2 linked regions of the Kluyveromyces lactis genome follow. The protein of the gene in region 2 binds, or shares a complex with, the protein of the main gene of each other region. Links are inferred from orthologs where the notes say so. Each region holds a gene or a part of one and is shown on either strand. Other genes may lie near its edges. The genes, in order: SSN8 and SSN2.

Evidence for each region.
Region 1: the proteins of SSN2 (region 2) and SSN8 are in contact, whole or in part, in a cryo-EM structure (PDB 7KPV), measured with the Saccharomyces cerevisiae proteins. The link is inferred for Kluyveromyces lactis from reciprocal best matches to the Saccharomyces cerevisiae genes SSN2 and SSN8. Residues at the interface, in NP_010731.3 of Saccharomyces cerevisiae: His1109, Leu1111, Pro1112, Val1115, Phe1117, Arg1118, Thr1119, Met1120, Lys1208, Phe1210; in NP_014373.3 of Saccharomyces cerevisiae: Lys18, Ala19, Ala22, Leu283, Glu284, Met287, Ile290, Gln291, Ile294, Asp298.

What each region holds. Positions count from the first base shown.
Region 1 is NC_006041.1:737,235-740,362, reverse strand, and holds SSN8 (cyclin-dependent protein serine/threonine kinase regulator SSN8), read left to right. Parts: upstream 1-1,637; coding exon 1,638-2,552; downstream 2,553-3,128. Other genes in the region: ICE2 (Ice2p), read left to right, coding at 1-150. UniProt on the Saccharomyces cerevisiae protein: Component of the SRB8-11 complex. The SRB8-11 complex is a regulatory module of the Mediator complex which is itself involved in regulation of basal and activated RNA polymerase II-dependent transcription.
Region 2 is NC_006038.1:107,420-112,050, forward strand, and holds the start of SSN2 (Ssn2p), read right to left. Parts: upstream 2,965-4,631; coding exon 1-2,964. Other genes in the region: KLLA0_B01375g (putative hydrolase), read left to right, coding at 3,290-4,631. UniProt on the Saccharomyces cerevisiae protein: Component of the SRB8-11 complex. The SRB8-11 complex is a regulatory module of the Mediator complex which is itself involved in regulation of basal and activated RNA polymerase II-dependent transcription.

The sequences.
Region 1 (3,128 bases), on a different chromosome or scaffold from region 2:
CAATTGAAAAATGATCTCTGTATATGGGGATGTTTCCCATACGAAACAGAGCCAAAGATCGTGGTTGATTCATGGTCCTTTTGGAATTGGTGCAACATTTATTCAACCATGTTGATTTATGCATTAGAACTTATGGGTAGTAACAAGTAGAAAACCATCTGATGATCAGTTCACGATCAGAAATAAAAAGCCTCTTTTACTCCAGGGCAGAAATAGAAGATAGCTATGTAACATTAGAGGTGAGCAGCTTGAGACAAAGTTAGATATGGATAGGAAGATCACTTTTTGTGCCACGTTATGTAGTTCAGCTGATAGATAGAAATGGTAGGTAGTAGTTCCGTAAATGGAAAGCAAAGAAATACAAGAGATACTTACTCGATGGGAAAACCACACTAACAAGTAGATGATTCTAGTACTACACATGTTTACAACTCATAGCAAATGGTTAGCCGGACTCATACTAGATGGTGCGGTGCTAACAGCGTTCAAGAAAAAATCAAAACAGAGAAGATACATACAGTACTACTCTAGACCGCAGTCAATAACTCTTCTTTATCATCAAGGAAATTTGATCAGTACGTTTGTAAAAAGCAAGTCTCGTCCATGCTATATAAGCTCAGAGCTTGACTCTATGTTGCATTGTTATTTCATCACGTTAAAAATCCTAAAATGAAGAGGGAAAGATGACGGCTGGATCTTTTGAAATTCTTCCTTGTAGCACTTGATATGAGAGGATACTCAACTGAGTATAATCCAAGGCAATAAATGATACAATAATAAATAATCAGGGCAGCTTGGCATATTTGACTATGCGTAAGTATCGAAAAGTTCAAAATAAATTTGAAACGAATCCACTTCAAGCTGTTTGATGATTGAAAAAAGGATGGAGAGTTTCGTGAGCCGAGAAAGTAAGCTCCATTGGGTTACCCAAGCTACCTCCTCCCTAATCACCCCTGTAAACAGAAGTAACAAAAAAAGAGATAAAAACGCTCGGGCAATCGTCATAACTTTCGTTTAAAGTAAAGAAATACTTCAGTACCCAAGACACAGAGGCTTCTAAAACAGCCTCTGGATAGAAACCGTGACAGAAAACCAACACGATTAATGAGTTGATTTAAACATTTGAAAAGTTTTTAAATCTCATTACGTTTCCGCTTACGGACTGGTCGGAGACTTTCTACCCAAAGCTATAGAAATGATATCATTTCAATTGAACAGATAAAATCCGTTCCTTATGTAAGCTTCGATCAGTGACGATTCTTCGACTACAAAACCCTCGACTTACGAAACAAACAACAACAAAAGACAACACTAGAAAACATTTAATTAAAAGTAAGTGTTTGAAGTGCTGATGTTTGGTTCATATAGTTGAATGTTTAACTTTTTTCCAAAAAATTTTCAAAAAGGTTACCCGACTTCTTAACGACCTGAAATTTAGGGCTGCAACGGTCAGCTTATCATAATGTACTTGATGATGAATTGAAGAATAGCGAACGGTAAGGTAGTAAGAACCGAATCGGGTTAGGTACTTTGAACAAAGGATTCCGACAACAAAAGGCAGTACAAATTTCACTGGAGGATAAAAAATACCTTTCCCCCCCTTATTCATTGAACAGCTAGAAGATTATCTTTCCAAAATGAGCGCCTCATACTGGGATTCGAGTCAGAGGCACAAGTGGAAGTATACTAGGGAATCCTTGGCTAAGGAGAAGCAGAAACTCTGGCTGTTGGAATGCCAATTATTCCCACAAGGTTTGAATGTTACGATTCACGATTCGAAGGCGAACAAGCAGGTGACGACAAACATTCCGGTTACACAGCGAGATCTGCATTATGATCGAGACTACAATTTGAGGATATACTGCTATTTCCTTATAATGAAGTTGGGCAGGAGGCTCAATATACGGCAGTGTGCACTTGTTACAGCACATGTTTATTTGAGCCGATTTTTGCTTCGAGCTAGTGTCAGGGAAGTGAACCTGTATCTTTTAATCACCACCTGCATCTATTTGGCTTGCAAAGTGGAAGAATGTCCGCAGCATATAAGAACGCTAGTCAACGAGGCGAGGTCTCTATGGCCAGAGTTTATTCCACCGGATGTGACAAAAGTGACCGAGTTTGAGTTTTATTTAATCGAGGAATTGCAATCATATTTGATTGTACACCATCCGTACCGGTCTCTAGAACAGATCGAGAAGGCATTATCATCCGAAAAGTACAACTATAAACTCTCAGACGATGAGCTTCAGAAAATATGGTCGTTGATTAACGATAGTTATACGACCGATGTCCATTTACTCTATTCACCGCACGTGATCGCCATAAGTTGTCTATTTGCAGTGTCTTGCATCATTCACAAGCCAGAGGACAGTACAAAGCGTGCTAACATCAACATGTTCATCGCTGAAACTCAAGTTAATTTGGAACAAGTGATGTTTATCCTTCAAGAACTCATATCACTATACGACCATTGGGACAAATACAATGAACTGCGGATCAGAGCGCTCCTACACGAGTTATACCTCCGTCAACAAACACCAGCAATTCAGTGATTCTGAAGCCGAAAAGATTTCGTTCAGTTCACACCTGTACATACATAACAAATTACGTAGCATTCAAGATCAACCACGCATCAAGGATATATCGCATAAGAACGAAATGAAATTATATTGGACAACTCACGGAAGAATCACAGAAATGCAGACACTGAGAAATATACACATTGTACGCACAAAAAAAATTTAGTTCGCAATCACAGTCAACTAGAGGACAAGTAGAAGCCTCACTCCAAGAGCTGCATTTGCAACTTCTATTTCTCTTTAACACCAAAAATATCTTTGGCGAAGCGATATCTGCCAAATAATCTAGAGCTATTCATGCGCAGAAAAGAAAAAAAAAAGTGAACGAACGGCAATATGATTTCGAGAGTTAAACATGAAACTCGAAATCAAATCTTAACTAACAATGTTAACGTGTATTTATAAAGAGTAGAAGTAGGAAAAGTGGAAGCACAAGTTCAAAAGAAAGCGAGTCCAAAAGTTTAGTGAAGCAGAAGCAGAGTGTCTGTCATTTCATTATTCTGTGAGGTTCCCGCATTGTATATTAGTTAGGATACCATCTCGGGAATT
Region 2 (4,631 bases):
ATCGTCATTAGTCAACTTAGTCAGTTCACAGAACCCTAACTCATGATTCGAATATGTCTGAGACATTTGTGATACGAAAGACATGCAATCATTTTTTGCCTCAGTGGTTAGCACTAGGGCCCTGAAATTTTTTACCCCACGGTTGGGTTTCAGATTTAAATATTCCGTGAAATAACACGATGAGCTTTTTATTTTAATTGTATCTTCAGATTTCTTCACAAACACTGATGGTTCAGGCAAATAGAAGACTTCCTCTATTATTTCGTTTCCGTGAAGCTTTGAAAAATTCCCAAAAAGCTGGTTCATGGTATCGCTGATGGTGCCAACGGAGCAATCCTTGATCCCTTTAAACTGAGATTCTGTTGCCCTATCATCAGAAAACATATCATTATTGAAGACTATCTGATCTGTCAAAATCTCTAGAATATCCTCGAAGTCTTTTCCGGGCGGCAAAGATGGATTCTGACAAAGGAACACGTCAGGCAACGAGAACAAAGGCATGTGTCTCAAAAGGTAGGGGAGAATTCTAGATGATTCAGATTGTTCTTGCTCTGCGGTTTGAATAGTTTGTTCGCTTTTGGGGTCGATTTCAACCGTGGAAAGAAAGTTAGCTGATGAACTTCTTGGTTTTGAATTATCATATAGAGTATCCGGTCCGAGAGAAGGCGTATTCTCAAAGTAAGTTGTGGGATTTGAGTTTGAGCTGTTATTGCAGTCGTTTATGACCCCATTAATTGTCTGGTTTGGTAGATCAGCTCTTTCTGATTTACTTAAGGCGGGCTTCCATATTGCGTCTAAGTTGGACTTAACAGGTTTTTCCATTAGAGTTCCGATCGTATTATAAGATGCCACAGAATCATCTTTGGAAGAAGATGGTGGGTTTATCAATTCGGGAAGAGAGTCCTTTGCAATAGGTTCGTATGTTGATGACTCGATCATTGGTATATCATTGTCTCTTGGATCATATGATAAGCCCTTTCCTGCAGATGGTCCATTATTGTTGAAATCAGCAGGAGAAAAATCGCTATCATCATCTTCTGAGCTTGATATATTACTTGTACTTATCCCAAATTGTATTGGTTCGTCATTGGTGTTCGAGTTAACAGAAAACTTACCTCCATTCTTGTACTTGTTATCCACATTACTTTCAAAGATGGGGTTGAAATTGAGTGGTGCGAATATACTTTTCTTTCTGTCTTTTGGGGTTTCAATAGGCAAAGGTGCTCCTGGATCTTCGTATAATGTAGGTGTCTTTTCTATAGTAATGACATCCACTGGTATGTCCAAATAGGTACGCTTTGTTCTTGTCTTCTTTTCGTCAGTATCAATAGACTCGATGGTGTCGGGACGATCAAACTTTAACGAGTTACTAGTTGATCCGTCAGCCTCATCGTCATCTTCGGCTAGATCAAACATTTCGTCAGTAATCTCTTTTACAGATACCAGTTCTTCGTTCTTATTTCGCGTACTGACATCTTCGTCGCTATCTTCACCAAAAAGATCTTTGTCGAATTCTACATGCTCGTGTTCCTCTATCGAAATATTCTGAGCGGGAGATTCAAAAGCGGTTTCCAGTTCTACTTTACGCTCAGAACTACCTACTGATGCGTCCTTTGAGTTGATATTGGATGTACTATTTATTACATCCTTTTTCTCATTCCAAAGATCGTTCTGAGGTTTTACGGAAGGAGTTTCTGTTATAATATCATCAACGGTTGGAGTGATATTCTCATTTATTATTGGAGTTGTAATGAAACCATTACTGCTGTAACTCTCTGTGGGGAAATTCTGTCTACTAGTTTTATTATCTCGCAGAGGTGTTACGTTTGGATCATTAGAGTATTCCGGAGAAAACTTACCATTCTCTCCCGTTGAAGATACGTTATTGCTGTTATTGGCCGAATGCTTATTAAACCCTTGAAACTGATCAGTAAATATTCCTCCCGTACTTAATGGGTTATGTCCGGTTACAGTTCCCATCCCTGCAGATGTTCCAGGCGTTCTGTAGGCCGAAGTGAGTTTTAACTGTATAAATCCATCTATCATATCGAAACAATCATCTAACTCAAGCTGCGGGGATCTTGAAAATGCAGTATATTGAGGAGTTTGAACGTCAGATGCTGTTTGTACAAAACAGAGACATGCCGGCCAGATAACGAAATTATTTCCTTTTGGTTCGTCAAGATAATGTGATATTGTTGGAGTGAAGCCATTCAAATGGTTAGCATTTGGAATAAGCTTTACCCATTTCAAACCGTCGACATCGATTAAATTTATTCCATGGGAGACAAATAGTGTCTTGAGAAACATTTGAGCGTTTTTGGGTGGTGATACATAACATTTCTTTAAATCTGTGGATGGTAAATACACTCTGATCCCAGATGGAGCCAAATACACAGCCACTTCATGTTTGAGGCTCTCTGCATTCAACTTCGATAAACCCAAATCCTTGGAACAAATTGCAACAGTCAAATCTCCATTTTCAAATAGATGTGGATCAAAGTGTAAGATTTTGGTCGAAAAGGTATATGATTCCTGAAATATGCATGAGTTTCCAAAGGGCACGATGGTTTCATTGGAGGATAGGGTCAAATTGACATATATCATACGCCTGAGAGCCTTCATAAAGATGGCATATGGGGTAGGCAAGTGAGGTTTTGAGAATTCTGGGGTGAAGTGACCCTTCCGCTCTGGCTGGGGTGACTCCGATTCGTTATTCAGCTCAAGGTTTAACTCTGGTAATGGATCATCGTTAATACTAAAACACCATAACTCCCTGGAAAAAAGAGCTGCAAGTACTTTGGGGTTTTTCCTCCTTAGGAACAACTCTGCTTGAATTGACCATTGATTATCTGCCTTGCTAGGTACATATTGGTGATAGTTTATTTGTTTGACAGTTTCTAACCTGTATAAATTGGTAACGATGTCCTCCAATCGACATGCGTCCCCAACCTCCTTTTTCATGGTTTCCGTTGCTCTGATGAAAAGTAAGCTGGATAGTCAGACTGATTAGGATGCAACGGTACTTCAAAAATCCGTACTTGTTAAGAGATGCTGTCTAGTTACCTTCTTTTAAAATTATACGATTTTATCTCGAGTTATCACTACTTATAATAATGAATCGCTTGATCATTATAAAACAAAAACAAAAAAGATTGCCAATACAAAACAATGAATGACAGGTACCAAAGCATAAAGCTAAACGCACCCCCCGTGATTAGCGGCGCACTCTCAATTGGAAACGCAGTATAACCTGTACTTCTGCTAACAGTGGTTGGCGTATGCCAAGATGGCAATAAAACTGACTGAAGAGAACGACACTGAGTCATCAGATAGTGGTATTCTGCTTTTAAGGGAAACAGGGTCACTTGGTATCGGGGATGTCAATCGCTATAAGATAATTGTAGATAAAAATAAGCTACTATCTGACGGAATTGAGTGTACTGACGATACTCTCTATCTCGAATTCAAAAACCAGGAGAGCGCGCTTTTGAGGCCGTTATGGATAACTGGACCATACTCAATTTATGTTGAAATAACGCCGAACAATTATGACGAGAGAAAGCAATTCATAGGAGATGGAATTGAGTTCATGAGTGACCTCAAGCCTGATGAGAATTTCAAAGCGAAACTTTATCTCAATTCTAATGCTCGAGTTGACGGTACTTCTTGTTATGCTTGGAAGATTGACCTTATTGCCCAGTTCACTGTCGTTACCATTGTAAGGCTTCCATTCGTCTTCACGCTAGCTACAACATACAAAACTGCTAAACATTCCCAGAAAGACAAGAATATAGAAGTTCAGCAGACTGATGGGTTGAAAATTTCCAAACTTGACACTGAACAGTTGTGGAATTTACCTCCGCCATTTCCAGATAAGCCAGTTCATCTCGTAATTATTACACATGGCATCTTCTCTTCTATTGGCGGAGATATGCTTTGCTTAAAAGACACCATTGAACGAGCGTCGAACTTTTTGCCAGATGATAATAATGGCAATCTTGTAATAAGAGGGTATCCTGGAAACGTCGGGAAGTCTCATAAAGGTATACGGCATCTAGGATTCAAGTTGGCAGAATATATAATCGATACCATCGATAAACTTCAACAGCAATTCACCTTAACAAGAATCTCATTTGTAGGTCACTCTTTGGGAGGACCCGTGCAAGCTATGGCCATTCACTATATCTCTGTCGAACGACCAGACATATTTGACAAGACCACAGGCTTGACACCCGTCAATTTTGTGGCGGCGGCGAGCCCATTCCTCGGAGTCATTGGAGATTTGCCCAAATACATATCTATCGTGCTGGACATTGGCGCTTTGGGACAGACTGGAAGGGATCTCACATTGAAGCGCAGCTATTTTCTGCCATCAAAAGGTATTGTAAATAATGATGGATCACATGATAGAATCAAATCTAAACCCATATTAGAGCTTTTACCTAAACATCCGGCGTTAGAAGTTTTCCAACGATTCAAGTGTAGAACCGTGTATGCTAATGTCGCATTTGATGGTATAGTGCCTCTAAGGACGGCTGCTTTACTATATCTTGATTGGAGAGGTTTAAGTGATGTGCAACAGGTGAGGAGCGAAAACAATGCCCAATCTGAGGAGGGAGTTGAAGAAC